Anolis sagrei: one gene and its partners. The protein of the gene in region 1 interacts with the protein of each later gene in a biochemical or structural test. Links are inferred from orthologs where the notes say so. Each region holds a gene or a part of one and is shown in the gene's direction. Other genes may lie near its edges.

The links.
Region 2: of the proteins of HNRNPA1 (region 1) and PRMT1, one has a biochemical effect on the other in vitro, tested with the Homo sapiens proteins (3 studies listed by BioGRID, with this or other methods). The link is inferred for Anolis sagrei from reciprocal best matches to the Homo sapiens genes HNRNPA1 and PRMT1.
Region 3: the proteins of HNRNPA1 (region 1) and PSMD9 interact in a test that uses a peptide from one of them, tested with the Homo sapiens proteins (3 studies listed by BioGRID and IntAct, with this or other methods). The link is inferred for Anolis sagrei from reciprocal best matches to the Homo sapiens genes HNRNPA1 and PSMD9.

Annotation. Positions count from the first base shown.
Region 1 is NC_090022.1:188,553,026-188,564,457, reverse strand, and holds the start of HNRNPA1 (heterogeneous nuclear ribonucleoprotein A1), read left to right. Parts: upstream 1-7,066; 5' UTR 7,067-7,173; coding exon 7,174-7,188; intron 7,189-7,278; coding exon 7,279-7,317; intron 7,318-9,826; coding exon 9,827-9,943; intron 9,944-10,545; coding exon 10,546-10,692; intron 10,693-11,432. UniProt on the Homo sapiens protein: Involved in the packaging of pre-mRNA into hnRNP particles, transport of poly(A) mRNA from the nucleus to the cytoplasm and modulation of splice site selection.
Region 2 is NC_090026.1:22,286,912-22,298,074, forward strand, and holds the start of PRMT1 (protein arginine N-methyltransferase 1), read left to right. Parts: upstream 1-5,984; 5' UTR 5,985-6,069; coding exon 6,070-6,099; intron 6,100-11,163. UniProt on the Homo sapiens protein: Arginine methyltransferase that methylates (mono and asymmetric dimethylation) the guanidino nitrogens of arginyl residues present in proteins such as ESR1, histone H2, H3 and H4, FMR1, ILF3, HNRNPA1, HNRNPD, NFATC2IP, SUPT5H, TAF15, EWS, HABP4, SERBP1, RBM15, FOXO1, CHTOP, MAP3K5/ASK1, MICU1 and NPRL2.
Region 3 is NC_090034.1:32,226,849-32,237,545, reverse strand, and holds the start of PSMD9 (26S proteasome non-ATPase regulatory subunit 9), read left to right. Parts: upstream 1-6,381; 5' UTR 6,382-6,445; coding exon 6,446-6,562; intron 6,563-9,577; coding exon 9,578-9,680; intron 9,681-10,069; coding exon 10,070-10,263; intron 10,264-10,363; coding exon 10,364-10,465; intron 10,466-10,697. UniProt on the Homo sapiens protein: Acts as a chaperone during the assembly of the 26S proteasome, specifically of the base subcomplex of the PA700/19S regulatory complex (RC).

The DNA of each region.
Region 1 (11,432 bases):
ACGCTTAAATTACTAAAATAGTTCTGTTTTAGGATATGAAGAAGATTTTATTAGTACCGCAAATCAGTAATAAAGATGTTTTGTTGCATATTTCAAGTTAGCTTTGGACAGTTAATAAGCGAATCTGCTTGTTGTTCAGGAAGTGCTCAGACAGCCTGCTGAGGAAGACAATATACAGTAACCAGATAGAAGTTACATTATTAAAAAAAGAGAAAAAAGGTAAATGATAGTTGCCATTTTGACCATTGCAACTTAATTAGATTCTATTTTAATGTTCATGGAAAAAATTCATTAAGAAAGTCTAATGCTGTACCAATTGACTGTTAATATTGCAATATTGCTATTGTGCAAACATTGAGAAAACCTAAAGCATAGAGCTTGACTAAAGAATTAGTTTACGTTCCTCCAGTTAATTGTATTCCACTAACTTTTTTTTTTAAAAAAATACTGATTTAGTATTAGCAATGTCACAGGAGTTTGAAAAAAAAATAGTTTATAGTTTTTATTTAAAAACAAAACATACACACAAACAGAAGTATGCTTATACAAATTGCAAGATTCAACAAAAAAACTATCTAAATTCTAACAAATACTACCCCACTACTAAAGGCCTACTGTAGCTAACACAGCATGAATACAAAAATGAAACAGACAAGAATAGATATTTGCACAAAAAGAATACTAATAATCAAACATACACTAGTCTACAATCTCTCACTCACTGTATGCTGATTTTTATCTCTCTTTAATCTATTCTCTTTAAATACTATTATAAATTTAGAAATTCATTCTTCTACTTTTAGTAACATTCTACTAATTCTTAAAACCTACAATAAACAACTCTCTCCCCATTATGGAAATCAGAATGTAGTACAATTATATCAAAATCCCCATATCTGAAAGTCTGGTACTTTCAGCTGTCCCACCTAGGTCCAATAAAACATTCCCTTCTCGGAATTTTCTAGATCCTCCAGACAATAATATGGTATGCTTCTGTTAAAAACTGACATTGCTGGAATAACTAAAAAATTCTTTTCTGTTTCTCCCAGCAACGATCTAAGGTATCTTCCAGTGGAGGCAGTTTTTTTCAATAGGGTTTGTTATTATCCAATTTCCTACAAGGGCTATACTATATACTGAATGGTACACAAACATTCCTAAAGCTGTATCATGACAATTTAACAAAACAGATTTAACTATAAGTTGTATTACATGGAAAGTAAGCAGTGAAGAAAAAGATGTAAAATTTAGCATCAGTTATGACACAACAGCTATCCATATCTATGCTACTCTACAGCAGCAATTCTGGCTTACTAACCACTGGCACTCAAACTGAAAACAGAATGCATGGCCCACTGTTCATTCACAAAATAGTTCAAAAATCCAGGATTTCAGGTTTAAAGCAATGTGCAAACAACACTGGTAAATGACATGTTGCAATTATTATGATGGGCTCCCTACTGAAACTAGGAACTCGCAAGACATTAGAGGCACCAGGACCTTGAAGAAATCATGTTGCATTGCAACAGGGACACCTATGAAACCTCAAAGAAGGATTCTGTTCTGTGATCCTATGCCCCCCTCCCCCCAACTGCAAAAAGAAAGCTCAAAAACATGTTATTTCTGGTTACTACAATTACAGGGCCATAATTTTATCTTTTGAAAAAACTATATCCAGTAATTACCCCTCCGCATTCATATGTTACATATTTGTTATAGCAAATATACGGTACTGGGGTGCAACTCTTACTTTTAAAAAAGTTTTCCTCTAAACAAGGATGTACAAGATTACCCCACTTAAGCAAATGAAGTGATCTAACTTGGACTATCTGTTCCACTTCTCTTCATCTCCCTATAATCCCCTATACATTTACCAAACCAACACCAAATTGCTTCCACAATCCATTCACTCCTTTAAATACAGCAGACAATATCAATAACATTTTAGAACAGTGTGACTCAAAGTGGTGGTCCCCAAACCAGTGCTGGTCCCTGAAACATTGGATGCTGTTCTCTGGCAAGCTTCCAAGTGAGAAGGAAACAACTGTTGACAATGGGCAGAAATTTGGAGGGGGGGGGGTGGTTGCTGGTAGCGATGTAAATTAGATTCGATGGTACATTAATAATAATAATAATTAAAAAAACTTTATTTATACCCCGCCACCATCTCCCCAAAGGGACTCGGGGCAGCTTACATGAGGCCACACCCATCAATACAATATACACAATATAACACAAAAATACAACAGAAAATCAGAAAATAAATTAAAATACAAAACCAATGTATATAAACAACACAACAATATAAAATCAAAACATTACGACATCAAAAATGATCACCATGGGCAGGGCCAAATTCAGGAATTAAAATTTTTAAACACTGTAAAATATCAAGGAGGGGTTCCGGGGGATGAGGTAAGATTTAATTGCACAACAAGAAAATAAAGTGCTTCTGAGGGCATTTTATGCAGAGTTTGGTCAGAGATTATCATGTAATCAATCACTGAAAGCATATTGGAACAGCCAATGAATCACATACCTAAACCTTTTTGCACTGCTGGGCAAGAGGAGAGAGGGGCAGCAATGGCTGTGAAAACACTGGTAGGAAGCTGATGGTAGCCATGAAAAAACTGGTAGGAAGGCCAGACAGAAGGCACAGCTTCCCAACAGCCTTTTTACAACCACTACTACTTTGATTTACATTCGATAGCAATTCCTGTTTTTGTAATGCATACCTTCAAAACGAAGGTGCACATAACATTCAATGACGCATTATACTCAAATAACTATGGGCATTGATCCCATGAAGATCAGTACTTGCTCCTGATATACTTACTTCATTGAAATCAGTTCCTATGTGGGCGTGTGGCAGAGTCATTTCATTACCCTTAGCCCCCTTTTATACAGATTGAATAACTCTTATCCAAATTCTTGGGCTCAGAAGTGTTTTGGATTTTAGAATACTTACATTTGCATATATATACTTAATGAGATAGCCTGTAAATATACACATAACCTAAAGATAATTATATAGAATGGCGTTTTTATTATTTTTGTGCATGAAACAAAGCTTATGTATGCTGAGCCATCAGATAGCAAAGATGTTATCTCAGCCACCTATGAGGAAGATATTGGATTTTGGAATTCCAGCTAAGTGATGCGCAATCTGTATTACATTACAACACTCAATAAAAATAAGATTCAAAGCAGAAATAACATTGGAGGAAATGATCACAAAAGAATCCACCTGCCAAAATTTAGAAAGTCAAGCAAAGGAATATTTGTTGTGTTCCAGGTCTTAGTTCTTGCACAAGAATATTTCTTTATGCTGCTCCTCATAGTAAATGCTTTCCCACATAGAAGATTACAGAATTTACAGGCACATACATTGTTCTAGTCTACTTCAGGACATTCCTGACCATTTTTTCAACACCCCACACCTATTGATGGATTACACAACACTTAGCAATAACTAACTTTATCGAAGTCTTGGCGGAGAAACACAAGACTAGGTAAGATTTTCAAGTTATTATATTTCAGGCACACTTTTCAATTCAATTTGGGTCGCAATGTAAGAATGGAGAAGTCAAAATGGGACACTAAATATTACAATACTGTATAACTAGAGTATAACTATATGATGTTTGACTATTGTAGATGGGTCTATACATTGCACAATAGACTTTCAGTTAACTGGAATTCAAGCAACCAGAACTCTCAAGCTATCAAAGAAATAATCAGATCAGACCCCACCTGTTTGAAATACCTTTTAAATGAACTGCAACAGAAGCCTAGTATTTTGTAGTATTTTATTGTCATATGGAAATTTTAGACTGCTTTTAATTTAATGGTAATTTTTAATTTTCTATAAGGGAGCATCCATTTAACTCTTTTGGGTTGTTTTAATCAATGGTTTTATATTATACTGTATGTTTTAATGATGTTGTGAATTACTTTGGGTCTGCTGGAGAAAGGCGGTATAGAAATTCCTGAAATAAATAAGTAATACTGTATACACAAAGCAATTTTTAAAATACAGCAAAACTGTGATGTTATGTTTGGCTTTATTTGCTTTTAATTACTGTATTTCAGTATGAATATCAAGTCAATACAGAGCATATGATATACTACAGTATGTAGTATTAGCTAGACCTATTTTAAATTGTAACTCTCAAGCAACCAGACCCTAATTTATCTGGCAACTGCCTATACATTTAAAATCTATTGCTTCTCTTTTCCCTTGAATTGCATTATCATTATTATACTACTCTGCCTTTCCCCCAAGATTAGGACTGAAGGCAGCTAACAAATTAATGATCACAATAGTTTAAAAAAAACATTGAGAGTCACTATTAAAGTAAAATCAAACTATTAAACAATTCAAAATACACTTTAACGCAAGGCTGGGCAAGGTAAGAGTGAAATTCCACCCACCAAAATATTTTTTTCTTTCCCCAAATATTCCAATAAGGGTTGCGATGAGTATTTTTGAATTTTGGATTATGTGATTTTAACATTAAGATGTTAAAGCTATGTTTCAATTGTCTAAATGTTTGTGTTCTGTTTAATATGATTTTAATGGTTTCATTTATAGTTATATGTATTGTTTTAGTTATTATGTTTGGTGTGTATATATCTCGGCATTGAATCTTGCCATTACTTGATATACACCACTTTGAGTCCTATCCCCACCCCCCGGGGTGTGAAAAGTGGTTTTGTTTGTTTTGTCATGTCAGAAGCAACGTGAGAGACTGCAAGTTGCTTCTGGTGTGACAGAGTTGGCCGTCTGCAAGGATGTTGCCCAGATGATTGGATGTTTTTATCATCCTTGTGGGAGGCTTCTCTCATGTCCTCGCATGAGGAGCTGGAGCTGATAGAGGGAGCTCATCTGTCTCTCCCCGGATTTGAATCTGCGACCTGTCGGTCTTCAGTCCTGCCGACACAGGGGTTTAACCCACTGCGCCACTGGGGGCTCCTGTGAAAAGTGGTGTATAAACACAGTCAATAAATAATAATATTAAAAACCCACCTACTCAGCACTGAAGAAGTCTCAGTTCTTAGGTTAAACTACAAAAATACATGACACAGATTATTTTTCGTTAAGATGGGTATTGCTGAAATAATATTTCCATTGAAATTTAGCATCATCTCAGGCCCCTTCCACACAGCTGAATAAAATCCCTCATTATCTGCTTTGAACTGGATTATATTGCAGTGTGAATTTAATGTATTGTCAAAGGCTTTCATGGCCGGAATCACTGGGTTGTTGTACGTTTTTTCAGGCTATATGGCCATGTTCTAGAGGCATTCTCTCCTGACGTTTCACCTGCATCAATGGCAAGCATCCTCAGAGGTAGTGAGACAAACGTCAGGAGAGAATGCCTCTAGAACATGGCCATTTAGCCCGAAAAAACCTACAACCCAGTGTGAATTTAGATAACCCAGTTCAAAGCAGATATTGTGGAATTTTATGCCTTAATATTCTGGGTTATATGGCTGTGTGGAAGGACCCTGGGAAAACCGCTGCCCTTTCTGTTTTTAAGTCACCCAAGTTTATGGGATTCCGAGCTTTTTAAACTATCGCTTTGCAATGAGGGCAGCCCCGGCAAACGTTAGCAGGCATTGCCAATTTCTTGAGCAAAAGACAAGAGACACGCACAAGATCTGAAGGGCTGAACGGTCTGCCATGTTGGCGGACCGCAGAGGTACTGAAAGGACATGGACAATTCATAGGTCCCTGGATATACTGGAAATACAAAAAGGTTTGAGATTGAACAAGAAGAGCATTAGAACTAGTTCGATCATTCACTGAATCATGGACTTTACTTAAAAGACTTTGATTTCTTATTATTATGATTACTATTATTGAAAAGCAGGCCCTTATGAGCAGCACAGACCACAAGAGGGCAACTGACTTCCACGAGGGAGGAGGTTCCTGGCGGGAAAGCCGCAAACTCCGCCCGCCCACACCCACACTCCTCTTGATTGGAGAGCGCGCACGTCGCTCGAGAGGCATTCCACCAATCCCGCGAAAGAATGAGAAGCGCCCGCCCCCTCGGTCAACCCCTCCCTCCTCCCTCTCAGCATTCTCTCGCTCGGGCCGCCTCCACACCCTTCGACCCGCCAGGCTGTCACTCATGCAAGCTGGCCCCGCCCACCCTCAGGCCCCGCCCCCTCTTCCAACGGTACCACAGTGCGGTTCAGGCAAGCTCCCAATCACGCCGAGACCACGCCCCCTCCCTCTAAAGGACCGGCTTTCGCTAGCACGCCGCCCGCCGAGTTATTTCCCGTGGTCGCTCACCTGGGAGAGTGGAAAAAGTAACGGCTCGGTGCGGAACCAACTTCCCCCACCCCCTCACAACCGCCGCTTCTGCGCAACGCCCGCCAAAACAGGTTCGCAGTGCGCACGCGCCGAGCTGCCCCCCCCCTCCGCCCCTTTCTCGCGCTGGCGTGAGGCGCGCGCACCGCTCCCAGCGTCCCTCCCTCCCTTCCTCCTGTCTGACACAAGAGTGAACTTAAGGCGCATGCGTGGCTTTTGTAGGCCCCGCCTCACCGTTTGCTGCTGCTGTTGCTGCCTGGAAGCAAGCTTTTATAGATCTGAATGGCCCTTTCCACCTCTTTTATTCTAACCCCCGCTGCCACCTTCGCCAAAGGCGTTGCATACAGTTCTTGGGACCGTTAAAGGAAAAACGTTCTAAGGCTGCCAACTTAATTCCCGCCTCTGTTAAAATGAATGAAAAGAAAGCTGACCAACCGGAAAAATGGAATCCGGGTATGTAAGCCAATCACAAGAGAGATGCGTTCTAAATTGGCCAATAAAGGGAAAGCTACCATGGAGAGGGGGCGGGTGCTGCCTCAGAAATGGCGGAGGACAAAATTGAGGAGTGACAAGTATCTTACCCAATAGCAAGCGAACGGAGGTGGGCAAGCCGTGCGAAAAAGGGCGAGGTCACTATTCTGTTGTCCAATAGGTTGCGGCCAATCTGCCCGCTGCCCAATGGGAGAGGAAGCGGCTTAGGAGACTGACCAATCGTGGTTGGCCGGGGGCGGGCCTTAGTAGTGAAGCGCCGGGGCGCTGCTGACTCTGCCTCTTTCCGCCTCAGCTGCAGAAGAAGGAAGAAGCCGCGTTGGGGAGGAAGCCGGGCTAGGCCTCGCCGAGTGAATATCGCCACCATGTCGAAGTCTGAGGTAAGGTCCGCCCGCGGGCGTTTGTGTCGTGTTGTTTCGAAACCAAACCTGTGGCTTGTTTTTGTGGAATTATGTTTCCTTTGCCTTTAGGGATCGTCCGATTACGGGTGCGATATGTCTCCTAACGAAGTAAGTGTTAAAAATCCTCCCCGCGCCAATGCTGGCTGTTTTTTCCCCCCTATTGGCCATTTTTGAGCTTCTGCTTCGGCCTCCTTCCCCTTGCCGCTTGGGCCTGCTTTTCCTCCACCTTCCCCGGCCACTACGCATGCGCGCTGGCTTCCCGGGGCAGGCGCCATCTTTTACAGTGCGTGGCGTTCTAAGCTTTCCCCCGGCGCCTGTAATGGCTGCGCATGCGCTGTGCAGTCCAGCAGGCTTTCTCTGGAGCGCATGCGCGCCGTAGAGCACAGCTTTTCCCCCTTGAGCTCTGTGCGGGGGATGGGAAAGGGCTGAGCCACGTGATCGCTCGCTTTGTCTCTTGAGCCCAGAATCCTCATTGATTCCATTTCGAACTTGAATAAACCCATTTGATTCATTGTGTCGAAGATTATGCAGTTTGATACAGCTTTAACTCCTACGGTTCAGTATCATTCTGAGAGATAGCCTTTTGTAAGGTCTTCAGCCTTCTCTGCCAAAGAGTGATGGTGCCTCACCAAACTACAACTCGTAGGATTCCATAACATTGAGACACAGGCAATATAATATATTATATGTACTTATAATATTGATTGTAGTATTATAATGTAATACAATATAATACTAATACAGTATAATCTATATAAACAAAAATGTAATGTTCGTTTGTGGGATTAACATAAATCAAAAACCACTGGACAAATTGACACCAAAATTGGACACAATACACCTATCAGGCCCATGAGTGACTATCACTCATAAAAACACTGAAAAACACTGCAGAAGGGAATTTAAAAGAGAAAAAATACATTACAACGCATTTGCCAAACCATATATATATATACACACACACATGCACGCAAAACGCAGACTGGGCCACAGCAATGCGTGGCAGGGGGTGGCTAGTAACATAATAAAATATAATAATTATATAGTACATGTAATATTACTAATAATTTTGCATCATAATGGTGTAGTACAATATAATAATATATGATGCTAGCATTGTACTATGCTAATAATGTAATATATAACTTGTAAGCTGCTCTGAGTCCCCTTCGGAGTGAGAGATGGCAGGGTATAAAATAGTATAGTAAATAAATAAAATAGCAATTAAATTATTAAACTACATAAATTCCATGTAGATGGACATCTTGCCTGAGAAGCATTCTGGACTCAAGCACCTTAATTATTCAGCCAGTTACACTGCTTTTGTAGTATTTAGAGAGAACTGTGTTGGTTTTGGAATATCAATCTGCAATTTTGTTGCAATTTAAAGACTACCTGACTATCCATCAGTTTTTGAGAGACCGCTCTCCCCACTGAGTTGGAGCCAGCCAGACATCGCTCCATCTTATCTTATTGTATTATATCGTATTTATATTGTAATTGTAAAAGTAAATTAATATTTTGGAAAACACCGAGCCTTTGTGACTAAAGAGTGGACTATAAATAAATAAAATAATAATGCTCAAATTTACAAAAGCTAATGCTACCAACCTGTTTTCCTCAGCCTTTAGAATGCCATTACATCCCTTTCCTTTCTTCCATACTCCACCCTTTCTAAGTTGGCGAGGTGGTCGTTACACAGTTCATTCCAAAATCTGCTTTTTATGCTTCTGTTATCTGGTGCATGGTCATGAAAGCAAAACATATTCCCATGTTGCCAAGACCCATGGTGCTCTTTCTGTGGATCCTCTGCACTATATTTACATAGACCAGAAAAAACACTTGTATTTGCAGGCAGCAGTCTTGAGCAATAGTATATATCCTTAGTCATTCATTGTAGCATGCCTTAAAAATTATTTGCTGTGGAGTCTTTAAAAATGCAATAATTTCCCCCAATGGTATGTTTATTTTTTCAGTGGCTCAATTCTGGGTTTTTTAACAGGTCTGCTAGTCAGTTTATTTATATTGCCCAACTTAATTATTCTGACAATTATGTGTGCCAGAAGTGCTGAAAACACAGGAAATGAGGCAATTGTCAGCAAAACCTATATGCTGTAATTTTCAACTCTCTTACAAAATTATGCTGCAAAACACTCTTTGTTTCAGTGTAGAAATTGAGAGAAACCCAGAAAGTACTTAAAGAAACAGTGGCATAATCTGTAATATTTGGAATCTGTGCCTAAGTGCTCCCAATGAAGTTTAAGACTTTGTAGTCAAGAGTAAGTAACATGCTAGTTTCACAAATGCTTGTGGCATGGTAAGAGTGTTTCTTTTCATTTACAGTAGGAGCTCTGCCTTCACAGGGGTTAAAGATACAGGACCCCTCTGAAATGGGAGAATCACAATTATTTTCTTTTTACCTGTGAAAATGCCTCTAGGACTCTGTTCTGGCAAAGGGTGACCATTGAGTAATTTTAGAGGACTTGGATATTCCTAAAGAGAGGATAGTACTAAAATACACAAAATGTAGACGGCGAACAGTTGAGTGAACATATTCTGCAGAACCATCCGGGCAATTTTACTTGTTGTTTTATCACCTTGCTTTTTTCTCTTTTAGTCCCCGAAGGAGCCTGAACAGCTGCGCAAACTGTTTATTGGGGGCCTCAGTTTTGAGACAACAGATGAGAGCCTTCGCAATCATTTTGAGCAATGGGGGACACTTACAGACTGTGTGGTAAGTATCTCCAGCATCTTGAGCACAGCTATTACAAGGGAAACATTTCTGGTTTGGACTGGATTGGGTATTGCAGCTTAAAGGACAGCACACCTAACAAGTATTAGAGAAGCTATTGAAAAAGAAGGGGGCATATTGTTCCAGCATGTTGGGGTGGGTTGGAATTAGTACTAGCTTTGATTTTCCCTTTTGTGTTAATGAAATCTGATATACTGGATAGGACAAATGTGAAGTTACCTTATTGCAAGTTAATCTTAGGAAATCCAGCTCATGAGCTTGGTGGGTATTATATCCTTGGAGTGTGTGTGTGTGTGTGGCTTATGAACTATGGCTGCACTTGGCTTGACAAGATTTAATGCACCCATAATTTCAAATTCATTTAAAACAAGGCATTTGCTGGTTGTTTCCCAGCAACTTCAGTGGGAGGGGTATCTGTGAGAAAAGGGTTGGTCTTTAATATATTTGTTCTGTATCCACTATTAGTTTCAGTGCTACCCATACTTGATATATGACACCACCAACAAACCTTAAGGAAAGTGGTTGCCCCCACTTGGTATATGCAGAACGCAAAATGAAATACTGATTTGAATACTTCATTCTAGGTGATGAGAGATCCCAATACTAAGCGCTCCAGGGGCTTTGGATTTGTGACATACTCAACAGTGGAAGAGGTTGATGCTGCCATGAATGCCAGACCACACAAAGTTGATGGTAGAGTTGTTGAACCAAAGAGAGCTGTATCCAGAGAGGTAAGAACTGCTCTTCAGTTTATTGTAACAGGAATAGATTGAGGTTCTGTACAGGCAGTCTCCAAGTTACGAGCAAGATAGGTTCTGTAGGTTTGTTCTTAAGTTGAATTTGTATGTAAGTTGGAACAGTTATATTTATTAAATCATAACGCCAACCTAATATAGTCAGATGGGTACAGGGTCCTCATCTTTCCTTGTAATTCTTGCTACAAACATCTTAGGTTGCCTTTCTTGTTTTTAGATATATGAAGGTAGAGTCCTAAAAGTGAATTAGGATAAAGAGACACTGAGGAAAACTATGTATGTTTGAAAACTGCATGAATTTTTAAAATAATTATATCAAATATATAAGCGTTGGATAGCCTAGGGAAGAGTGGTGTTTGTTTTACTGCCTGTTCAGAAGATTTCCTCTCATCTTCTGTCCCTGTGATAATTGGATTTCGAAAAAGGTGGTTTGTTGTGGAAACAAGAATTGATGCTGAAGTTCAATGGAGACACCTTTTCTTCATGATAACTTCTGGGAGTGAATTTCCCTTCTGGGGGATAGATTTCCTCTCACTTCCTGCTCTCTCTGTCAGAAATATTTAAAAAAAATTAACTGAGTATTTTTGATTACAAAAGTGGGAGTCAAGCACTGAAAGAGTTAGTAGGCCGAAGTCTTGTGTAAGAGCTCCAGTGTGAAGAGTGCTGCGTGTAAAGCTGCTATATATTTATTTGTGTTACAGAAACCTAGTAAATAG
Region 2 (11,163 bases), on another chromosome or scaffold:
CATCTACCAGCTGCAGAAGGCCACCTTATTGGGATCTGCATGCATTATTCGGCGATACATCACACAGTCCTAGACACTTGGGAAATGTCCGACATGTGATCCAATTCAACAACCAGTAGAGTGTCTGCTGTGGACTCATCTTGTTGTGTTTCAAATAATAATAATAAAGATCTCGTTTGCTGTGACACACGGTGATTTTGTGACAGCAACATAATAATAAAAATATTGAATAATAATAAAGATCTAACTGCAAAGACTCTGGCATAAGCCAGTCAAGGTGGCCCCAGCGGTGATCGGCACACTGGGATCAGTGCCTAAAGACCTTGGCCTGCACTTAAACACAATCGGCACTGATAAAATTACCATCTGCCAGCTGCAGAAGGCCACCTTACTGGGATCTGCACGCATTATTCACTGATACATCACACAGTCCTAGATACTTGGGAAGTGTCCAACATGTGATCCAATACAACAACCAGCAGAGTGTCTGCTGTGGACTCATCTTGTTGTGTTTCTAATAATTATATAGATCTCATTTGCTGTGACATACTGTGTTTTTATGTCAGTAACATAATAATAATAATAATAATAATAATAATAATAAATCGAACTGCAAAGACTCTGGCACAAGCCAGTCAAGGTGGCCCCAGTGGTGATCGGCACACTGGGTGCAGTGCCTAAAGACCTTGGCCTGCACTTAAACACAATCAGTGCTGACAAAATTACCATCCGCCAGCTGCAAAAGGCCACCTTACTGGGATCTGCATGCATTATTTGCTGATACATCACACAGTCCTAGACACTTGGGAAGTGTCCGACGTGTGATCCAATACAACAGTCAGCAGAGTGTCTGCTGTGGACTCATCTTGTTGTGTTTCAAATAATAATAATAAATAAATAAATCATGAAATTATTATTATTATTAACTTTATTTGTACCCCGCTAACATCTCCCGAAGGACTCGTGTGGCTTACAAAGGACAAGGCCCTCAATAAAACAACAGCATAACAAATACAACAATAAAACTCATAAAGCAAACCAATAAACATTAAAGCAATAACAATAGAACATTAAAACGATTGCATCAAGTGCCTAGACACCATCAGCATTTGTAAAAATGTTGGCACTTTTATTGAAAATATGATAAAGCACTGGAAAACTGAACTGTTTGTTGGAAATGAAAACTACGTACTTGTCAACATCAGGAAAGGAATCCTCCAGGGAGACTCATTGTCCCCACTGCTATTCATCATTGCCATGATCCCTCTGTCAACAACCTTACAAAAAACAAACCTGGGCTATCAAACATCTAAGAAATCTCACAAAATTTCACATCTGCTGTACATGGATGACCTGAAACTATATGGGAAAACTGAAACTGAAATCCACTCTCTGACTAATACTGTCCGAACCTTTAGCACTGATATCAACATGGAGTTTGGTTTGGACAAATGTTTGACACTGGCACTGAAGAAGGAAAAAATCATTGAAAGTGAGGGCATAAATATGCCCATTGGCCAAGCAATCAAGTGTCACCAGCCAGAGGCCTATAAATATATGGGCATACTACAGCTGGACAACATCAAACATGAACATGCGAAAACTGTGGTCAGCAAAGAATACATTCAAAGGGTCAGAAAAATTCTCAAAAGCAAGCTCAATGGAGGCAACACCATCAAGGCCATAAACACTTGGACCATGCCTGTCATAAGATACACTGCTGGTATCATAAACTGGATGCAGGCAATTTGGAAAAACAAGAAAACTCATGACCATTCATAATTCACTGCACCCTCACAGTGATGCTGACTGGCTCTATCTGCCTAGAAATTCTGGTGGCAGAGGACTTTTACAAGTAAAACAAGCAGTTGAAGAAGAAAAACATGCCCTGGCAGAATATGTCAAGGAAAGCCAGGAACCTGTTGTAATTGAAGTCAATAATCGGAAACTTCTCAAAGCACAGCAGACTATGAACCAGTACAAGAAATCTGCACTCCAAACTAGAGCTGACAGCTGGCACAACAAAGCATTGCATGGGAAGTTCCTTGACAAAATTGAAGGAAAAATTGATAAGGAGAAGACCTGGTTGTGGCTGAAGAAGGAGACAGAAGGCCTGATTCTTGCAGCCCAGGAGCAAGCCATCAGAAGAAATTCAATTAAGGCCAGAATTGAAAAATCAGCTGTTGACCCAAAATGCAGTCTGTGCAAGGAAGCTGATGAAACCATTGAGTATATCCTCAGCTGCTGCCAGAAAATCGTACAGACGGACTACAAACAAAGACACAACTCTCAGATGATTCACTGGAACTTGTGTCACAAGTACCAACTGCCAGCAGTAAAGAATTGGTGGGATCATAAACCCGCAAAGGTCGTGCAACATGAACATGCAAAAATACTGTGGGACTTTCAAATCTAGACTGACAATGTTTTGGAACACAATACACCAGACATCACGATTGTGGAAAAGAAAAATGTCAGGATTATTGATGTCGCCATACCAGGTGAAAAACAACAGGAAAAACTCAGCCGCTATCAAGACCTCAAAATCGAACTGCAAAGGCTCTGGCATAAACTAGTACAGGTGGTCCCAGTGGTCATTGGCGCACTGGGTGCTGTGCCAAAAAATCTCAGCTGGCATTTGGAAACAATAAACATTGACAAAATCACCATCTGTCAACTGCAAAAGGCCACCTTACTTGGATCTGTGCGCATCATTCGAAAATACATCACACAGCCCTAGACCCTTGGGAAGTGTTTGACTTATGATTTTGTGATACGAAATCCAGCATATGGATCTCGTTTGCTGTGACATACTGCGCCTTTGTGTCAATAATAATAATAATAATGCTTTTATGATATGCCAGTCTGATTCCTCTTCAGAAGAGATAAAGTGGGGTGTAAATAATGATGATGATGATGATAATAATAATAATAATAATATCAATCAGTTAAATAAAATTGAAATAAATACACAAATAAAATGGAAAGAATCGTTAAATGAATAAATACATTTAACCAAATTGATTTTAAATAAAGTAAATGAAGCAAACTAATAAAAATTGTAGAGTGATGGCAAACTACAGCTCCCAATAGGATCCCATAGCATGGAGCCAAGGAAGTTAAAGTGGGTTTAAACTTCATTCATTCTGCATTGTACATGCATTCTCCAGTGCCTTAGGGGGTGCATCTACACTGTAGAAGGAATGCAGTCTGACACCACTTTAATGACCTGGCTCCATGCTATGGGATCCTATTGGAAGTTGTAGTTTAGTGAAGCACCAGCACTCTTTGGTATCAAATTTGATTGATTCTAGTGCAGGCATGGACAAACCTCGACCCTCCAGGTGTTTTGGACTTCAACTCCCAGAATTCCTAACAGCCGGTAGGCTGTTAGGAATTTTGGGAGTTGAAGTCCAAAACACCTGGAGGGTCGAAGTTTGCCTGTGCCTTTTCTAGTGTATAGATCTCTTTTTCTCACCTCCTTCCTGTTCTCTATAGAGTCGGACGTGAGTCTAGGCACATAGACGAATTTCACCACTGCAACTTAAAATTCTCAATGGTATCTCGACTGAACCAATGAGCTTTCAAGAGAGAATTCTGGGTTTGTGAATGGCACACCCACTTTGTCCTTACTAGGAGAGCTCTGGCTGGAAATTATCCAATGAGGCTTTAGGATTTTTTTTATTGACAGGCAATCTATCCAATAGCTGATCGCACAAGCAGAAAAGGCTGTTCTTCGTCGCTGAGTGACGTCATGCCCTTCCATATAACATTTGACCTTGGCAATGAATGAACACAAACCAATGAAATAAATTACTGTCCTTTCCAAATTCGGATTGACATGTTTGTCTGCCAATACAGATTTGTCAATAATTTATCCTAAATGATGGATATGCCATTCAGCCAATAAGGAAATGAAGGCTTTTTAATGACACTAAGTGAATACTATCAATGGGGGTAAAAAAAAAAGATTGATAGGTGATGAGTGTACACTGTAGACTTAATGCAGTTTGATACCGCTTCAACTCCCACGTCTCAATTATATGGAAATTTGGGCTTTGTAGTTTTCGGCATTTCTCTGCCTTCAGCATGTTAGGCCCCTTGTATAGTCCCAAATAAAATCCAGATTATCTGCTTTGAAGTGGATTATATGTCAGTGTAGAGTCATATAATTCCATTCAAAGCAGGTAATTCAGATAATCTGCTTTGAACTGGATTATATATCAGTGTAGACTCACATAATCCCATTCAAAGCAGATAATTCGGATTATCTGCGTTGAACAGGATTATATGACAGTGTAGACTCGTATAATCCGATTGAAAGCAGGTAACTTGGATAATCTGCTTTGAACAGGATTATATGTCAGTGTAGACTCATATAATCCCATTCAAAGCAAATAATTCAGATAATCTGCTTTGAACTGGATTATATGTCAGTGTAGACTCATATAAACCGATTCAAAGCAGATAATCCGGATTATCTGCGTTGAACAGGATTATATGAGTCTACACTGACATATAATCCCGTTCAAAGCAGGCAATTCGGATAATCTGCTTTAAACAGGATTATATGTCAGTGTAGACGCATATAATCTGATTAAAACAGATAATTTGAATTATTTCATTTGAACTGGATTATATCTGTGTAGCCTCGTGTGATCCAGTTCGAAGCAGATAATTTGAATTTTCTGATTTGAACTGGATTATATATCAGTGTAGACTCGTGTGATCAGGTTCAAACCAGATAATGCGTATTATCTGGTTTGAACTGGATTGTATGTCGGTGAAGACTCATATAATCCGATTCAAAGCAGATAATTTGGATAATCTACATTGAACCAGATTATATGTCAGTGTAGACGCATATAATCCAAGTCGAAACAGATAATTCGGATTATCTGGTTCGAACTGGATTATATGTATATCAGTGTAGACCAATGTGATCCGGTTCAAAGCAGACAATGCGGATTATCTGCTTTGAATTGCATTATATTGGTCTTCACTGATATATAATCCGGTTCATTTGCGGATTATCTGGTTTTATAATCTGAGTTATATGGTTGTGTCGAAGGGCCCTAGGTTACATGGCAGTGTATTTATTTATCGTGTCAGGACAGTCAGTCGATTATATTACATTTCTAACAGAACAAAGCAAACAAACAGAGAAAATACAAAATGTGTGAGTTTGGTAGTTAATTAAATGTCCTTTGACCAGTATCTGGCCACTTGGAGTGCTTCTGGTGTTGCTGCAAGAAGGCCCCCCATTGTGCATGTGGCAGGGCTCAGGTTGCATTGCAGCAGGTGGTCAGTATAGAAGGAGCTTTATATTGTCATGTACTTCTTGACAATTAATGCATCGTTTATGGGGCTAAAGAGAACCTCTGTTCTTTGATTGTCAGTTTCGTTAACAAATCCGTTTCTTTGTCCCACCCCTTTGAAACAAAGCAACCAATGATGATTGAGAATACGGAACCCTTTGCTTTGACAGGCATTTCCATCACCAATAAATCTTGGAATATTAGCTCCAAAACCCGCCTCCCTCTTTTAATTGGTGGTCGTTTCTTTTCCGGACCAATCATATTTCATACTAACAAACGGGCCCGCCTCTTGGTTCGTGATTGACAACGCTCTGTTCTTTGGGTGTCTTAAACCAGGCATGAGGCAAACTTCGGCCCTCCGGGTGTTTGGACTACAACTCCCACAATTCCTAACAGGCGGTAGGCTGTTAGGAATTGTGGGAGTTGTAGTCCAAAACACCCGGAGGGCCGAAGTTTGCCCCATGCCTGTTTCTAAAAGAAAAAAAGCCCGCCTCTTTTACGGAAAGCACCCAATGGGATTCGAACGTCGGTTTGATGGAAGATCCCGTCGAAGAGTGTGTCGCGTCAACCAATGGGAAACAAGGAGGCGGGGCTTATTTCCCCACCTCTTTCTCTTTCTCGGGAGTGACAGCGGAGCCACCCAATCGGAGGGAGTCCCACCTCCTCGGCTGAACGAGAGCGTTGAGGGGAAAGGGGAGGGGGCGGGCGCGCGAGACGGCTTCTCTCTCTCTTTCAGCGTCTCATTCGCAAGATGGCGGAAGCTGCAAACTGCATCATGGAGGTGAGGGCGCGTGGGAGGGGTGGAGGGAGCGGGAGAAAGGGGGAAAGGGGCTCCAGGGAGGCCTCAGGCCCCACACACCCCTTCCCCATCGAGCCCGGGCCCTTTGGGGGGACCTTTAAGGAGGGACCCCCCACTCCCTTCCCATTCAAAGGCCTGTCCGCCCCTCATAGTGAACCCCAGGGCGCTTTCCCCCATCCTCGAGGGTTCCTTCTCCTTCCAAGAGAAAGAAAGGCCTTTGGGTCTCATTGGAATCCCCTCTTCTCCTACTGAAGGTTTTATTTTCTCTCCCCACATCAGTATGAGGAATGGATTTTTCTGATTTATTACTATTATATATCTTATTAGTTTATGATAATTTCCCCACATTGTTTTTAGGAACGCATGCTTCCCTGATTTGTTATTATTATAACCCAATTTTTGATAATATTCTAAGGAACATATTATTATAATATTATATTTACACCCCAGTTTATGATAATCTCCCCACATTGTTATTAGGAACACATGCTTCCCTGATTTTTGTTATTATTATAGCCCAATTTTTGATAATCTCATTCTAAGGAACAGAATATTATTATATTAGATTTACATCCCAGTTTATTGTAATCTCATTCTAAGGAACAGATTATTATTATAATATTATATTTACATCCCAGTCTATGATAATCTCCCCATATTTTTATTAGGAACGCATGCTTCCCTGATTTTTGTTATTATAGCCCAATTTTTGATAATCTCATTCTAAGAAACAGATTATTATATTATATTTACAGTTTATTATAATCTCCCCATATTTTATTAGGAATGGATGCTTCCCTGATTTTTGTTATTATTGTAACCCAATTTTTGATAATATCATTCTAAGGAACAGATTATAATAATAATATTATATTTACATCCTAGTTTATGGTAATCTCCCCACATTTTTATTAGGAACGCATACTTCCCTGACTTGTTATTATATCTTAATTTTCGATAATCTCATTCTAAGGAACAGATTAATATTATTATATTTACACCCCAGTTTATTATAAGGAACGGATGCTTCCCCGATTTTTTTTATTATAGCCCAAATTTTGATAATCTCATTCTAAGGAACAGATTATTATTATAATATTATATTTACACCCCAGTTTATGATAATATCCCCACATTTTTATTAGGAATGGATGCTTCCCTGGTTTGTTGTTATTATAACCCAATTTTTGATAATCTCATTCTAAGGAAAAGATTATATTATATTTACATCCCCACATTTCCCCCCCTCCATATTCCAGAATATCAAGACAAAATCCCACAATGGGCCCTTCTACACACACCCCTATATCCCAGAATATCAAGGCAGGAAATCCCACAGTATCTGAGTGTGGACTCAGATAACCCAGTTCAAAGCAGATATTGTGGGATTATATGCCTTGATATTCTGGGATATAGGGCTGTGTGGAAGGGCCCTGAGTCCACACTGCTCACTTGATATGTATCATCATTATTGTAGGATATTTTCAGATCATCTCCCAAAATTATTCTGAGAAATAATGAGGAGTAATAATTATTATTATCCCAATTTTTGATAATCTGATCTCCATAAGGAACAGATTCTTCCTACTTGATATGTATTATCATAATTATAGGATATTTTCAGATCATATCTCCACATTATTCTGAAAAATAATGAGGAATAATAACAATAATATTCTAACCCAATTTCTGATTATCTGATCTCTGTCAGGAACAAATTCCTCCTCACTTGATCTCTATTATCATTATTATAGTATAGTATATTTTCAGATAATCTCCCCCACATTATTCTGAGGAATTAGTATTATTATTTTATTATTCTATCCCGATTTCTGATAATCCGATCTCTATCAGGAACAGATTTTTCCTTCTCACTTGATATGTATTATATAATAATAATAATAAACTTTATTTATACCCAGCTCGGCTTACATGAGGCCATATAATTATAGTATATTTTCAGATCATCTCCACATTATTCTGAGGAATAATGAGGAGTCATTTTTATTATATTATTATATGATTATTGATATGAATTATTATATCCCATTTTCTTAACGAGGCTCAAAAATACTACAATTTAACATCGATGGATTGTAATATAATATTTTCGAATTTCTGATCATCTCCCCACATTATTCTGAGGAATAATGGGGAATCATTTTTGTTATTATATTATTATTTCCCAATTCCTGATCATCTGATCTCATAAGGACAGATTTGTCTTCCTCATCATTTGATATGTATTCTGATATTCAGTGGGTGCTATGAAATTATGCGGCCTCCTTTTCTCTAAAGCTGGTTCCCTCCGCAATTCGGCTGCTTCCCTCCTCATGGTCCCCGCATGGCATGATGGCACGCCTCGCCCCGGAGGGCCCCGCCTCCTCCGGCCCGTCCAGCCCCGCCCCCGCCCGTCTAGGAAGAAAGCGCGCCGGGCCCCGAGAAATCCGCCTCCTTCCTCCCCTTTTGTGGACGGATCCCCTTCCTTTCCTCACCCCAAACCGCCTGGAGCTCTCTGCCCCATAGAGATGCCCAGAGCGCTTCATGCTCCCTTCTCTGTGCCAAGCCTGCAGCCATCTATTGGGATGAACCTAAGGACACGTGGAGCACGTCTGCACTGTCTCCCCAATGGCGCTCTTTGTCCAGAGAGAAGCCTCCCACCCCTGGAATAGCATGGGATGTTTCCCCTGTTCATTGGAGCCATTTTTCCTCCAGCACCGTAAGAGTGCAGTAGACTCTTAGGCTCCTTCCACACAGCTCTGTACAATCGACATTGAACTGGATTATATGGCAAGTATGCACTCCTAACCCAGGGCCCTACCATACAGGACCTATATCCCAGGATGTGATCCCAGGGTTTCTGCTTTAAACTGGATTATATGAGTCTGCACTGCCAGATAATCTGGGATAAACAGAAAACCTGGGAATCACATCCTGGGATATAGTGCCTGACTGGAAGGTCCCCAGCCTCAGAGCCCTTCCACATATATGAGTGTGGACTCATATCCCAGTTCAAATTAGATATTGTGGGGTTTTCTGCCCTGATATTCTGGGATATAAGGCTGTGTTGAAGAGCCCCCAGAACATCAAAGCAAGAAATCCCACAAAATCTGCTTTGAACTGGGTTTTCTGAGTCTACACTGCCATATACACTCCCCTAACACCAGTTGCTACTCTGGGACCAGAGGAAAGAGGGATCCAGGGTTTCTTCTTTAAACTGGATTATATGAGTCTGCACTGCCAGATAATCTGGGATAAACAGAAAACCTGGGATATAATGCCTGACTGGAAGGTCCCCAGCCTCAGGGCCCTTCCACACAGCCCTATATCCCAGAATATCAAGGCAGAAAATCTCACAATATCTGCTTTGAACTGGGTTATCTGGGGGCCCTTCCACACAGTCATATAACTCAGAATATCAAGGCAGGAAATCCCACAATATCTGCTTTGAGCTGGACTCAAAGGGGACTCAGAGCAACTTACAAGTCATATACAATACAATAAATAAAATAAATACAATATCTTCCTGGGGCCCACTTTTCTCTGGTCCCAGAGTAGCAGTTGGTGTTGGGGAATGTATATGGCAGTGTAGACTCAGAAGACCCAGTTCAAAGCAGATATTGTGGGATTTCATGCTTTGATGTTCTGGGAGCCCTTCCACAAAGCCCTATATCCCAGAATATCAAGGCAGAAAATCCCACATTATCTGGGGCCCCTTCCACACAGCTGAATAAATTCCTACATTTTCTGCTTTGAACTGGGATATATAGCAGTGTGAACTCATATCCCAGTTCAAAGTAGATATTGTGGGATTTTCTGCCCTGATATTCTGGGATATAGGGCTGTGTGGAAGGGCCCTTGGAATATCAAGGCAGGAAATCCCACAAAATCTGCTTTGAACTGGGTTATCTCAGGGCCCTTTCACACAGCCCTATATCCCAGAATATCAAGGCAGAAAATCCCACAATATCTGCTTTGAGCTGGATTATCTGAGTCCACACTGCCAAATATTCCAGTTCAAAGACGAAAACGTGGGATTTTATTCAGCTGTGTGGAAGGAGCCTCTGTCCACACTACCATATATTCCAGTTCAAAGCAGATAATGTGAGATTTTATTCAGCTGTGCGGAAGGGTCCTCAGTTAACCAGAACCCATGGAAATTGGTATATGCTAGATACATGTAGGACCCCTCCACACAGCCCTACAACCCAGAATATCAATGCAGAAAATCCCACAATATCTGCTTTGAACTGGGTTATCTGAGTCTACACTGCCATATAATCCCGTTCAATGTGATTATATAGCTGTGTGGAAGGGGCCTCAGTTTGCTGGCACTATAGGGATTGGTAGATGCTGGATCAACTACTACTTCTGGTTGTTTGAGAGTTACTACTAAAAATAAACCAAATTCTATATCCCCATACTCTACTCTACCATAAGCTGTTTATTACTTGATTTTAACATTATAGTCTTTAGAAACAAATAAAGTCCAATGAAGGCAAATTTAACTTAATGTAATCCAGCTTTACTACTAAAATAGACCCAACTCTATATCCTTATACTATACCATACACTTAACTCTGTATTGACTTGATTATAATATTGAAATATAGTCATTAAAAACAAATTAAGAACAATAAAAGAAAATTGATTTAACATAGCTTTACTGTACAGGCAGTCCCCAAGTTACAAACATCCAACTAACAAATGACTCAGAGTTAAGAACGGTGTGTGTGTGAGTATATATATATATATATATATATATATTCCCATACTATACCATAAACTCTATATTGACTTGATACTCATATTGAAATGTAGTCATGAAAACAAATGAAGACTAATAAAGACAAATATTGTTTAATGTGACAGAGCTTTACTGTAAAAAAGCTTTTTTTAAGTTAAAAGTACTATTTCTTCCTATTTTTTGCTGGTTGCTTATATTCCAGTTAACTGTGTTTTTAGGTTGGGCATCCCTTTTCTGAAATTCAGCCATAAAAGTGGCTGAGATAGTGGCACCTAACATTCAGATGATTCAGTGGACCC
Region 3 (10,697 bases), on another chromosome or scaffold:
TACAAACCCCAGCATTTCATCACAATTCAAATGGAATCATAGTGCCAGGAATTGTGTCTTGTGAACGGGCCTTAAGAAGAATATTTCCTTCTGCCTCGTCTGCACTATTCACTTTTACCAATAGATGGTGCAACTTCTTTATAAGATGGGTATTCCATTTCATACTATAGGCATATTTGCACTCATAGTTAAAGCAATTCAATGCCATTTGTCATTGTTCCATGCTACATAAAGCAAGGATGTATAGTCAGGCAGACAGTGAGTTGGGATTCTCCATAGAAAGGCTTTGTAGGAGAAAACACAAAGTTCCACAACAAACTCATCAGTGATCCCTTGTAACCAAGTCTGATTATCTTCCAAAGTTAGATCCGTGAATGACTGGATACGGACGTTCTTTCTTTCACATTTAGGATGTAGGTTTCCAGATGGAAGGCAGTCCTGACAAAGGTTTGCTTGAAGCACCTTCTTCCTCTTGACATGTTCCTCGCTTTCACCCTCTATTTCTGCTTCTTCAAAATCCATGGAATTGTTGGCAACTGCTGACCTCTATTCAACGCTCGGAGGCAAGGCCTTTTCAATTCTCTCTCGGTGTTGATGCCACATTTTTAAAGATTCACTTTAAGTCCATCTTTAAATCTCTTTTGCCATCCACAGACATTCCATTTTCCATTCTTGAGCTGAGAGTCAAGCAACTGCTTTGGGAGACTGGTTTCTGGGCATTCAGACAATGGTGCATTTGGCCCAACAAAGTGGATGGCAGAGGGTCATGGTTTCAATGCTGGTGGTCTTTGCTACTTCTTCCAGAAGACTGGCGTTTCTGCACCACCAGTCTTCTTCCCAAGAGATCTGCACAATTTTTCAAAGGCAATACTGATGGAAGTTGAGAGTTTTGGCAATTTGGGGCCTTTTACAAGTTGTTCAGGGCAGGGCCGTAGCCAGAAAAAAAATTCGGGAGGGGTTTAAAATTTCGGGGGGGGGGTTGAAAATTTCACGGGGGGTTGAAACCTGCCTCCTAGCTCACGCTGAAGCAAAGAGCACAGCAGGGGGCAGAGCAGCCTTCAATAGCCTGCAGCTCTGCCCCTGTCAACCACCTCCACCAAGTCTGGCCTCCTTAATGAGAGCATTCAACACTCCCCCCCCCCCAACTTCATTGCTTCACTACATCGGCTATTGCTGCAAGTAATGACAGTGTGAATAAATTGTCAATATTTACTTGAGATAGTGCTTGCAGTTCTGGAGGGACTGTTAATTTTTTGCGTCTCATAGACTTACCATGGGGATTTGGTTAACCAGTTAAAATTCATGAGTAAACCAGGTTTTTTTTTAACCTGAAAGATTTGGGGAGGGGGTTGAACCCCTAACCCGCCCCTCCACCCCCGGCTACAGGCCTGGTTCAGGGCCCTTTTACAGTTGCCCAGGGCCAGTTTTGGCCATTTGGTGTCTTTTAAAGGTTGTTCAGGGCAAAGAAACACAATATTTATAGAAATACAGAGTTGTCAAAATTCAAATTTCCCGTGCCCGCCCCCTGAGCTGGCCTCGCGGTGATTGGCTGGAGTATCAGCTGGCTGGGAGGTGAGGCTCAGCAAGGCTGGGGTTGTCCAATCAGAGCATTAGCCCCACTTCGGCTGCTCAGCCAATGAGGAGGCAGGAGGCGGGCCGGGTGCGAAACAATTAATGAAATGGGTAAAATGATAGGATTAAGGTGACCAATGTTTGCCCAACGACCCAGTGATAGTGTAGGCTCTCAAGCTGAGTCCAAGTTATTGTTTTAACCTTTTGAAATAACATCTTTGTCTAGCCCCGAGGGCCAGGTCCTTTGGTTTTTCCTTGCTGTGATATGGGGTTCATTGTCAGAGCAGAGACTTGATTTCAGATCAGGATATGACACGGTAGGGAAGCTGTGGCAAAATCCCCGGTTCCTTGCAGATAGGGAATTGCCCTTTATGTTGGCTGATCCAATATGTCCATAGACCCTATTGTTTCTGAATGGCCTGGCTATCAGTCCTTTGAGATCCAGACAGATAGAGCCATTTATTTATTGTCCATGCAAATATGTCTTGGTTGAGTCCTTTGTCTAAGGAATTACTGGCCCAGGAAGTTTGGAAACTCCAAGAGCCATGAGTTGCTGGCTTTATGAAAAAGGTGGCTTCTTCCTTCATTTTTCAAATATTGACATACATATAGGGAATGGGGAAATGGGGTATGGGAGCATACATGGAATCTGAGAGGGGAGGAGGGGAAATCGTGCAGGGTCTAGGAAAGTTCATAACAGCCCCCAAAGTCCATGGAAGTTTATAAACAGTCATAAAAAGTTCATGGGAATCTGTAAAGAGTCCAAAAAGTACCTAGAAATTGTAAAAGTTAATAAAAGTTGACAAAAATCCAGGAAAGTTTCTAAAAAGTTCATAAGAGTTTGTAAGAGTCCACAAGGATTCATGAGGTGCAAGTAAGTCCATGGGAGCACTGGATTGTCACAGTCCATTTAATAGACTGAAGGTTTATTTCATAAATTTTTAGTCCATGACAGGCTGGAGTGGCCTGCCAGAGGTTGGGGGTCCCCAGGGGTGACCACATGGGGCCCCTCTAATCCAGCAGGCTTCTGGGCTCGGGGTAATGTCCACAATGTGAAGGCACAACCATGGCTGCTGCGTGGGAGCCATGGAGAAAGACGTTCTGGTTACCACATGAGGTTCCACCTGATGAGGTGGCATTGTGGGGCACAGGGGTCTGTTCAGCAGAAAGTGAGATAGCAGTTAGTCTCAAATTAGTCCCAGGAAAAGATTGACAGTGGTTTGGAGTCGATCGGTTGACCCGCGGATACGGGGGCCGATGGGTTTCCTTATCCATGGTTCAAAGGAATGCAGTTTCGCCCTCCCTGGGATGCTGTAAGAGCATCCCGGGAGAGCCAGCAGTGATCTGAGGCTCGGAAAAGGAAAGGTTCATTCTGGAAAGTATTTGAGTCAGTAAAGGGACACAATGTATAACTATGAAGAGGAAAAGTTAGAAGGAAAGATGCTTCTTTTCAAAGATCCATGCTCTCAGGAACTGTGGAACTCCCTGCTGCGTGATCAGATCAGCTTGAAGGCTGGGGCCTGCAAGTTCGCCCTCAGTAGTTCAGAGTTTTGCCCATTGAGTGCCTTTTAAAGGTTGTTCAGGGCCTCTTTAGAATTGTTTAGGGCCCGTTTTGCCCATTTTGTGGTTTTTAAAGGTTGTTTAGGGCCTATTTAGGGTTGTCCAGATCTTGTTTTGTCCATTAGGTGCCTTTTAAAGGTTGTGTGGGGCCTCTTTAGTGTTGTCTAGGGTCGTTTTGCCCATTGGGTGCCCTTTAAAGGTTGTTTAGGGCCTTTTAAGGGTTGTCCAGGGCCTGTTTTGTCCATTGGGTGAGTTGTAAAGGTTGGTTAGGGCCTCTTTAGGGTTGTCCAGGGCCCGTTTTGCCCATTGGGTGCCTTTTACAAGTTGTTTAGAACCTCTTTAGGGTTGTCTAGGGCTCGTGATTGCCCATTTCGTGCCTTTTGCCAGTTGTTTAGGGCCTCTTTAGGGTTGTCCAAGGCCAGTTTTGCCCACTGAATGCCTTTTAAAGGTTGTTTAGGAGCCCTTTAATGTTCTCCAGGGCCCGTTTTGACAATTTGGTGCCTTTTACAAGTTGTTTAGGGTCTCTTTAGGGATGTCCAGGGCTTGTTTTGCCCATTGGGAGCCTTTCAAAGGTTGTTTAGGGCTCTTTAGGGTTGTCCAGGGCCCGTTTTTGCCCATTTGGCAGCCAACTCTCCACAAAAGTTGACCTTGATGCCAAACTCCAACCTCGCCTGAGCAGTGCGAGTGCAGCACTGTTTTGAATGAAGCAGGGAGTGATCGAGAAGATACCAAGATGCTTGCTCATAAAGCTGTTGTCCTCTCAATTCTATTGTGAAACAAACTCGAAATCTCAGGATTATAGAGCATTGGCTATTTGAACTGAGAGCATAACTGCATAATGGAGATGGATGCTGTGTCAGTCCAGGAGAGCTCACTTTGGGCTTCATTTTACCTCAGAACCATAATTATTAAAAACTAGCTGTACCCGGCCACGCGTTGCTGTGGCCCATTGTGGAGAAATGGGATAGAAAGAAAAGAGGAAGAGCTGGTTTCTAAGCTATCAATACACAACTGGAGTGGCAAAGTGTCAACCTAATATAGGCCCCTTTTCAGTCTCCTCGAGGCCAACGAGTTTTATGGATGTGTGGAAGGGCCCTGGGTTACCTGAGTCCACACTGTCATATAACCCAGTTCAAAGATATTATATAGATATTATTATTGTTGCTGTTGTTATAGACATATAGATATTATTATAGGCATATAGATATTATTATTATAGACACAATTATTATTATTAAAGGTATATAGGTATTATTATTATAGATGTTATTTTTATTTCATATCAACATTTTATTATTATTATTTACAGTATTTATATACTGCCTTTCTCACCCCTGGGGGGATTCAAAGCATTGCATGAATTAGTAAGGATGGGGCAGTAAGGAAGGCAGGCCCTCCCCAACCGGGCCTGCCTTCTCCCGGCTTCAGGATGGGGTCTCGCCCCATCCTGAAGCCGGGAAAAGGCGGGGGAGGCGGCAGGCGGTGCCCATGCTTTGGGCCCATGCTGCCTGCCCCCTCCCCAACCGGGCCTGCCTTCTCCATCCCCATTCCCAACCACCACCCCCCCTTCCTACCCTCCCTCTCCTCAGTAGCAAGCAATATTTGTTGTACAATGAAAAACTGTCAATAAAGATATTTTTTTTTAAAAAGGATGGGGCGAGACCCCATTCTGAAGCCAGGAGAAGGCGGGGGAGGCGGCAGGAGGCGCGGCTTTGGGCCCGCACCGCCTGCCCCCTCCCCAACCGGGCCTGCCTTCTCCCGGCTTCAGGATGGGGTCTCGCCCCATCCTGAAGCTGGGAGAAGTCGGGGGAGGCGGCAGGCGGTGCGGCTTTGGGCCCATGCTGCCTGCCCCCTCCCCAACCGGGCCTGCCTTCTCACGGCTTCAGGATGGGGTCTCGTCCCATCCTGAAGCCGGGAAAAGGCGGGGGAGGCGGCAGGCGGTGCCCATGCTTTGGGCCCACACCGCCTGCCCCCTCCCCAACCGGGCCTGCCTTCTCCTGGCTTCAGGATGGGTTCTCGCCCCATCCTGAAGCTGGGAGAAGGCGGGGGAGGCTGCAGGCGGCGCGGCTTTCGGCCCGCACCGCTTGCCCCCTCCCCAACCGGGCCTGCCTTCTCACTGCTTCAGGATGGGGTCTCGCCCCATCCTGAAGTCGGGAGAAGGTGGTGGAGGCGGCAGGCGGCGCGGCTTTCGGCCCGCACCTCCTGCCCCCTCCCCAACCGGGCCTGCCTTCTCATGGCTTCAGGATGGGGTCTCACCCCATCCTGAAGTCGGGAGAAGGTGGGGGAGGCGGCAGGCGGCGCGGTTTTGGGGCCGCGTTGCCTGCTGCTTCTCGACACCCCGCGGGCCAGATAAATGCCCTCGGCGGATCAGGTCTGGCCCGCGGGCCGTCGTTTGAGGACCCCTGTGTTAATCCCACAGACCAACATTACGTTTTTATTTATATAGATTGAATTGAATGGTAGACATGTAGTGAATAGGAAAATATGAAGGAAAAACCAACAATTTCATATATTAGTCCCAGTAATTGTATGTTTAGGATGTGTTTTTTACTCTAGGTTTGTTTCATTGTAGGTTTACGTGTCTTCTATCAAATTTTTTGTGTTTTTCTTTTTCCTTTCATCACCCTTTAAGAAGAGAAGCAGTTTTCTGGGCATTTCTAGGTTTGAAGAGATTTGAAATCTTCTTTTCCATTTTGTCCGACATTCTCCCTCATAGGAAAAAAATGGATTACGGAACATTTCCTTTGAATATTATGCTTCAGATGAGGCCTTCCCATATTTTTACATCTGACCCTCATTTTTATCCCCCCTTTAAAAAAAAAGAATTACTTGTGTTCTGTTTGTTTGACAGGGCTGGATAAGTGTTCTCCTCATATTGTGTCAAACCAAGTTGTGTGTATTGTGCATGGAATTACAGAAATGACTTTGGAAAAAGTGCTTATATTGGGTTTTCTTGACCTTTTATGATTTTTTGGTGGAGAAACATGTCTACACCGTGGTTTGGAAACTCCCAAAAACTTTACATCGTTGGGTTCTGTTGATTTTTTTTGGTCTTGATTTTACCTCAGAAATTACCTCAGAGAAAGAATAAAAAGGCCTTTAGAGAAGCTTCTGGCGCCCCAGCCAATAGGAAACGGGAACAGTCCCGCACGCGGCGAGGCCCCGCCCCCAACAGCTCTTCGGCGCGCTCATTGGCTGAGCTGCTTAAAAAGTGCAAGCGTCGCTCAGCAACAGGGCTGTTTTGGCCCTCGACGCCCGCCGTAGTTCGTTGGCTTGTCTCTTCGCGAAGCCCGAGTGCCCGTCAGTCGCGGCGATGTCGCGGGAAGGGGCGGAGGCGAAGCCCGTCACAGTCAGCGACGTGCAGGAGCTGATGAGGAAGAAGGACGAGATCGAAGCCCAGATCAAAGCCTACTACGAAGTGCTGGACGATGTAAGGAAGAGGGACGGGGGAGCCCAAACCCGGGACTACAACATCCATCATCCCCAGAAAGGCCCGTAGCCAGGATTTTGATTGGGGGGGGGGGGCTGAGTCTGAGCGAGAGAGGGTCTACCCTAGCAAACCTTTTGTATTGTTACCCCAATACCCCTATGCATATGGGATATATTGAGCATGGTGATCAGATCATGATATGAATAAACATAACAGTTTAAATAATGTACCACTAAGGCCTTCTCACAGACCACCATCAGAATTTCGGCTACATGCCTGTCCCCAGAGAAGCTTTTGGGAATGGGTTTTGCAATCCAAAGCTGGTGTGACAGGCCTCAGATTTCCCCAAGCTTCAGCAGGAGCACCGAAAGTCTTTTCTCTGCCTTTAAAATATAATATCTGTTGCTCTTGAACCTATTATTAGCGACTTTATTTCTTTCTTTCGCCTGGTTTGGAGAAATTATATCTTCTTGATCTAAAACTACAGGTTGTGTGTTTCTTATCCACAATCGTTCGGACCAGAATTGCTTGGGATTTGGTGTGATTTCTTGTCCATGGGATTCTTAACAACAACAACCTCATTTATGCTTCATCTTCGCCTTCTACACATAGCTTGAAGGCAATTTTGCCTACGATAGAACCCGCTGAAAGCAACTGCAGTGGACAGTTGTATGTTTCAGAGTGTTTTGGAATCCCAGGTAAAAGATGCTCAACCTGTCCTAACTGCCCTGGTCCCCTAGCATGGAGCCCTGGCGGTTAAAGTGGTGTCAAGTTGCATCAGTTCTACAGTGTAGGTGCACCCCTCACTGGGATCCCCTCTACACTGCCATATAATCCACATTATTTGCTTTGAACTGATTATATGAGGCCCCATCAACTCTGCAATATAACATCCAGATTATCTGCTTTGAACTGGATTATGTGACAGTATAGACTCAATGTATTGTCGAAGGCTTTCATGGCTGGAATCACTAGGTTCTTGTGGGTTTTTTCGGGCTATAGAGCCATGTTCTAGAGGCATTTCTCCTGACGTTTCGCCTGCATCTATGGCAAGCATCCTCAGGTTGAGAAGGTCTTCTCAACCTCTGAGGATGCTTGCCATAGATGCAGGCGTCTCAACCTCTGAGGATGCTTGCCATAGATGCAGGCGAAACGTCAGGAGAAATGCCTCTAGAACATGGCTCTATAGCCCGAAAAAACCCACAAGAACCTAGTATAGACTCAGATAATCCAGTTCAAAACAGATAATCTGGATTATATGGCAGTGTAGATCCAGCCTGAGGGCCCTTCCAGACAGACCCTATATCCCAGGATCTGATCCCAGGTTTTCTTTTTATCCCAGATTATCTAACAGTGGAGACTCATATAATCAGATCTAAAGCAGAAAACCTGGGATTAGATCCTGGGATATAGGGCCTGTCTAGAAGGGTCCTGAGTCCACACACTGCCATATAATCCAGTTCAGAGCAGATAATCTGGATTTTATATGGTAGTGTAGAAGAGGTCTCAGGTAAGCATCCATGGAATTGCAACCTTCATTACTTCTTTGATGGCTGATAGCTTTTATGGCAAGGTTGAGAGCCACTGTGCTTCTGACAGTTGAATGGAAGGGGTTGTATTCCCTCCTGTTATTAGAAGCAAGATATTAAATGCATCATGTTATGTGTAGGAAATCCCCCCTTTTCCCACTCCTTAATTCCCCTGGTTATTGGTTAAACTGATGCAAAATGCTCATTACTTTGAAAGGCTTTGGTCCTCATGTGCTGAGTCACTGGAGAAGGCCAAATGTGGAGCTCCAGCTATTGGCATTTTGCTCCTGAACAAGACATTGGGGTATATTTTTGGAAGAGTTTTTCTTCCCGTCCCTTTTGTCAAGTTAAACCAGGATGACTGAGGCTGGATCTACACTGCCATCTAATCCAGATTGCACTATGCAGCACGATTGTTGTTCCTAGGTTATACATGTAATTCCCTAATTGGCTCTATCATAAAAACATGGAAAAGTGTGTCAAACATCCTGCAGCACTTTTGCTCTTAGTTTTTCAATGATTCTGTCATAAGAGTCTCAACCAATTCAACCTAGTTTGTGGTGGCCATAAAAATGAAGTTTTTGGAGTAGAACAACTATTTTCAAAGTAGGTATCACACAATTAAACAGGAAATAACACTTTCAAACTAGGAACAGATTTTTTTCAAATGTTATATAGTGTTATCAAAGCAGATGATCCACATTAGCTCCTTTGAACTGGATTATATGAGTCTACACTGCCATACAATCCAGTTCAAAGCAGATGATCTCGATTTTATATGGCAGTGTAGATCCAGCAATAGACAACCCATTTTCAGCAATGTGGGGTGGGACATTTTCCATTGTATATCTCTCCATAATTTCTTTTAACCCAAACTTGTTCCATAGATTGTATTAACAACACAGAAGTTCAACGGTGGCAACTGGAATAAAGTTGAATCTAAAATTAAGTTTATTTACCTTTCTAGGAAGTGTGTTATTATTTACATAACTCTACAGGAATGCTAAAATTCACTGTTGTCTCTGCCTTTATTTTTTAAATCATAATATAAGGTTAACTACTGAACTGTTTTACTGAACTGTCTCATCATTAAAGGTTTACATGCTTTCCTGTTGTTAAAAATGCCTAAATAATGCTTTTAATTTAATTAACTGAAGTTTTAGAGCACTGTGTAGTTAGTTATAGAGGTATTTTTGCCAATCGGATATTTTAGTTCAGCTGTTTTTGGTATAGAAAACAATGCTTGTGTGATCTTTACAGCATATTAAATTAACACACTAAAATTTTTGCCCACTAAATAAAAATCAAATGTCTAAAATCCACTTTCCCTTGACTGGCTTTTTTCTAAGCCCCATTGAACTCAGTTGACTAGGATTCCAGCTTCAGTGAACACGATGTTAAGCTGTGTGTTTTGTAGCAAGCTCCTATTTTGTATTTCCTACAAAATAGCTCTGCAAAGTCACTTTGTTCTCCTTTTACCCTGCAGCAAAAAGGTGTTGGGATGCATGAACCCCTTGTGGATGTTGAAGGCTATCCGCGTTCAGATATTGATCTTTACCAAGTCCGGACAGCAAGACACAACATCATCTGTAAGTATTAAGTCCTTAATTTGATTGATTGTTAGTTCTAACTTAGTTCCATCATGCACAGTGGTGCTTACTTCAGGATTACACCCTGATTTGAGGGGGTTTTTTGGCTTGGAAAATGGGATGGGGATCCAAACAGGAAAAAAGCCCAAAACCTATCAAGAGTCTGAGGAGTAGAAATGCATACATATAAAGTTAAGAATCAAGAGACCTCTGAGCCAATGTTGTGTCTGGGCATCTGTTTCCATCATTTTTATGTAATAGATCTTCTCTATTAATGGTGGAGAGTGGACAAGATCAGAGATAGGCCAGGGTTCTCAGTGGGTGACAATACCAGTGTAACTCCCTGCTGCCCACCCCTGCCTTAGGTTATGGGTTTATTTTGTCTCTAGGTCTGCAAAATGATCACAAGGCTTTGATGCAACAAGTGGAAGAGGCGCTCCATCAGCTTCATGCCCGGGATAAGGAAAAGCATGCAAGGGATGAGGCGGAGGCTCGAGCCGAAGCTAGAGGCCAGGGCCTGCCCTCGCCTCAGCCTTTTGCCAAGGTGAACGCCATCACCCCAGGATCCCCGGCAAGCCTTTCGGCAAGTACTGACGCTCCTTGCTCTTGGTATCTGTCAGTCTGGTTTTTATTCTGGTTGTCAACCTAAGGGCAAATCACCTTGACTATGTTTCCCTCTGAAGGGCTTGCAAGTTGGTGACGAGATTGTGGAGTTTGGCTCAGTGAATGCACACAACTTCCAGTCGCTGCAGAATATTGCCACTGTGGTGCAGCACAGCGAAGGGGTAAGAATGAGGGATATTATTATTATTATTATTATTATTATTATTATTATTAGGACTTTGACCACTAGGCAGGTGAATTTGGGAGTTCTATTTTGTGTGGCCAAGTTGAACAATTGACCAGTGGTAGAGAAGGAGTTTAGTTTGTATCGATGACCCTGTTAGCTTCTCTTTTTAATTTTGCCTTGGGAATTTGAGACTAGAAAAAGATAATGGAAGCTAAGAACTGACTGGC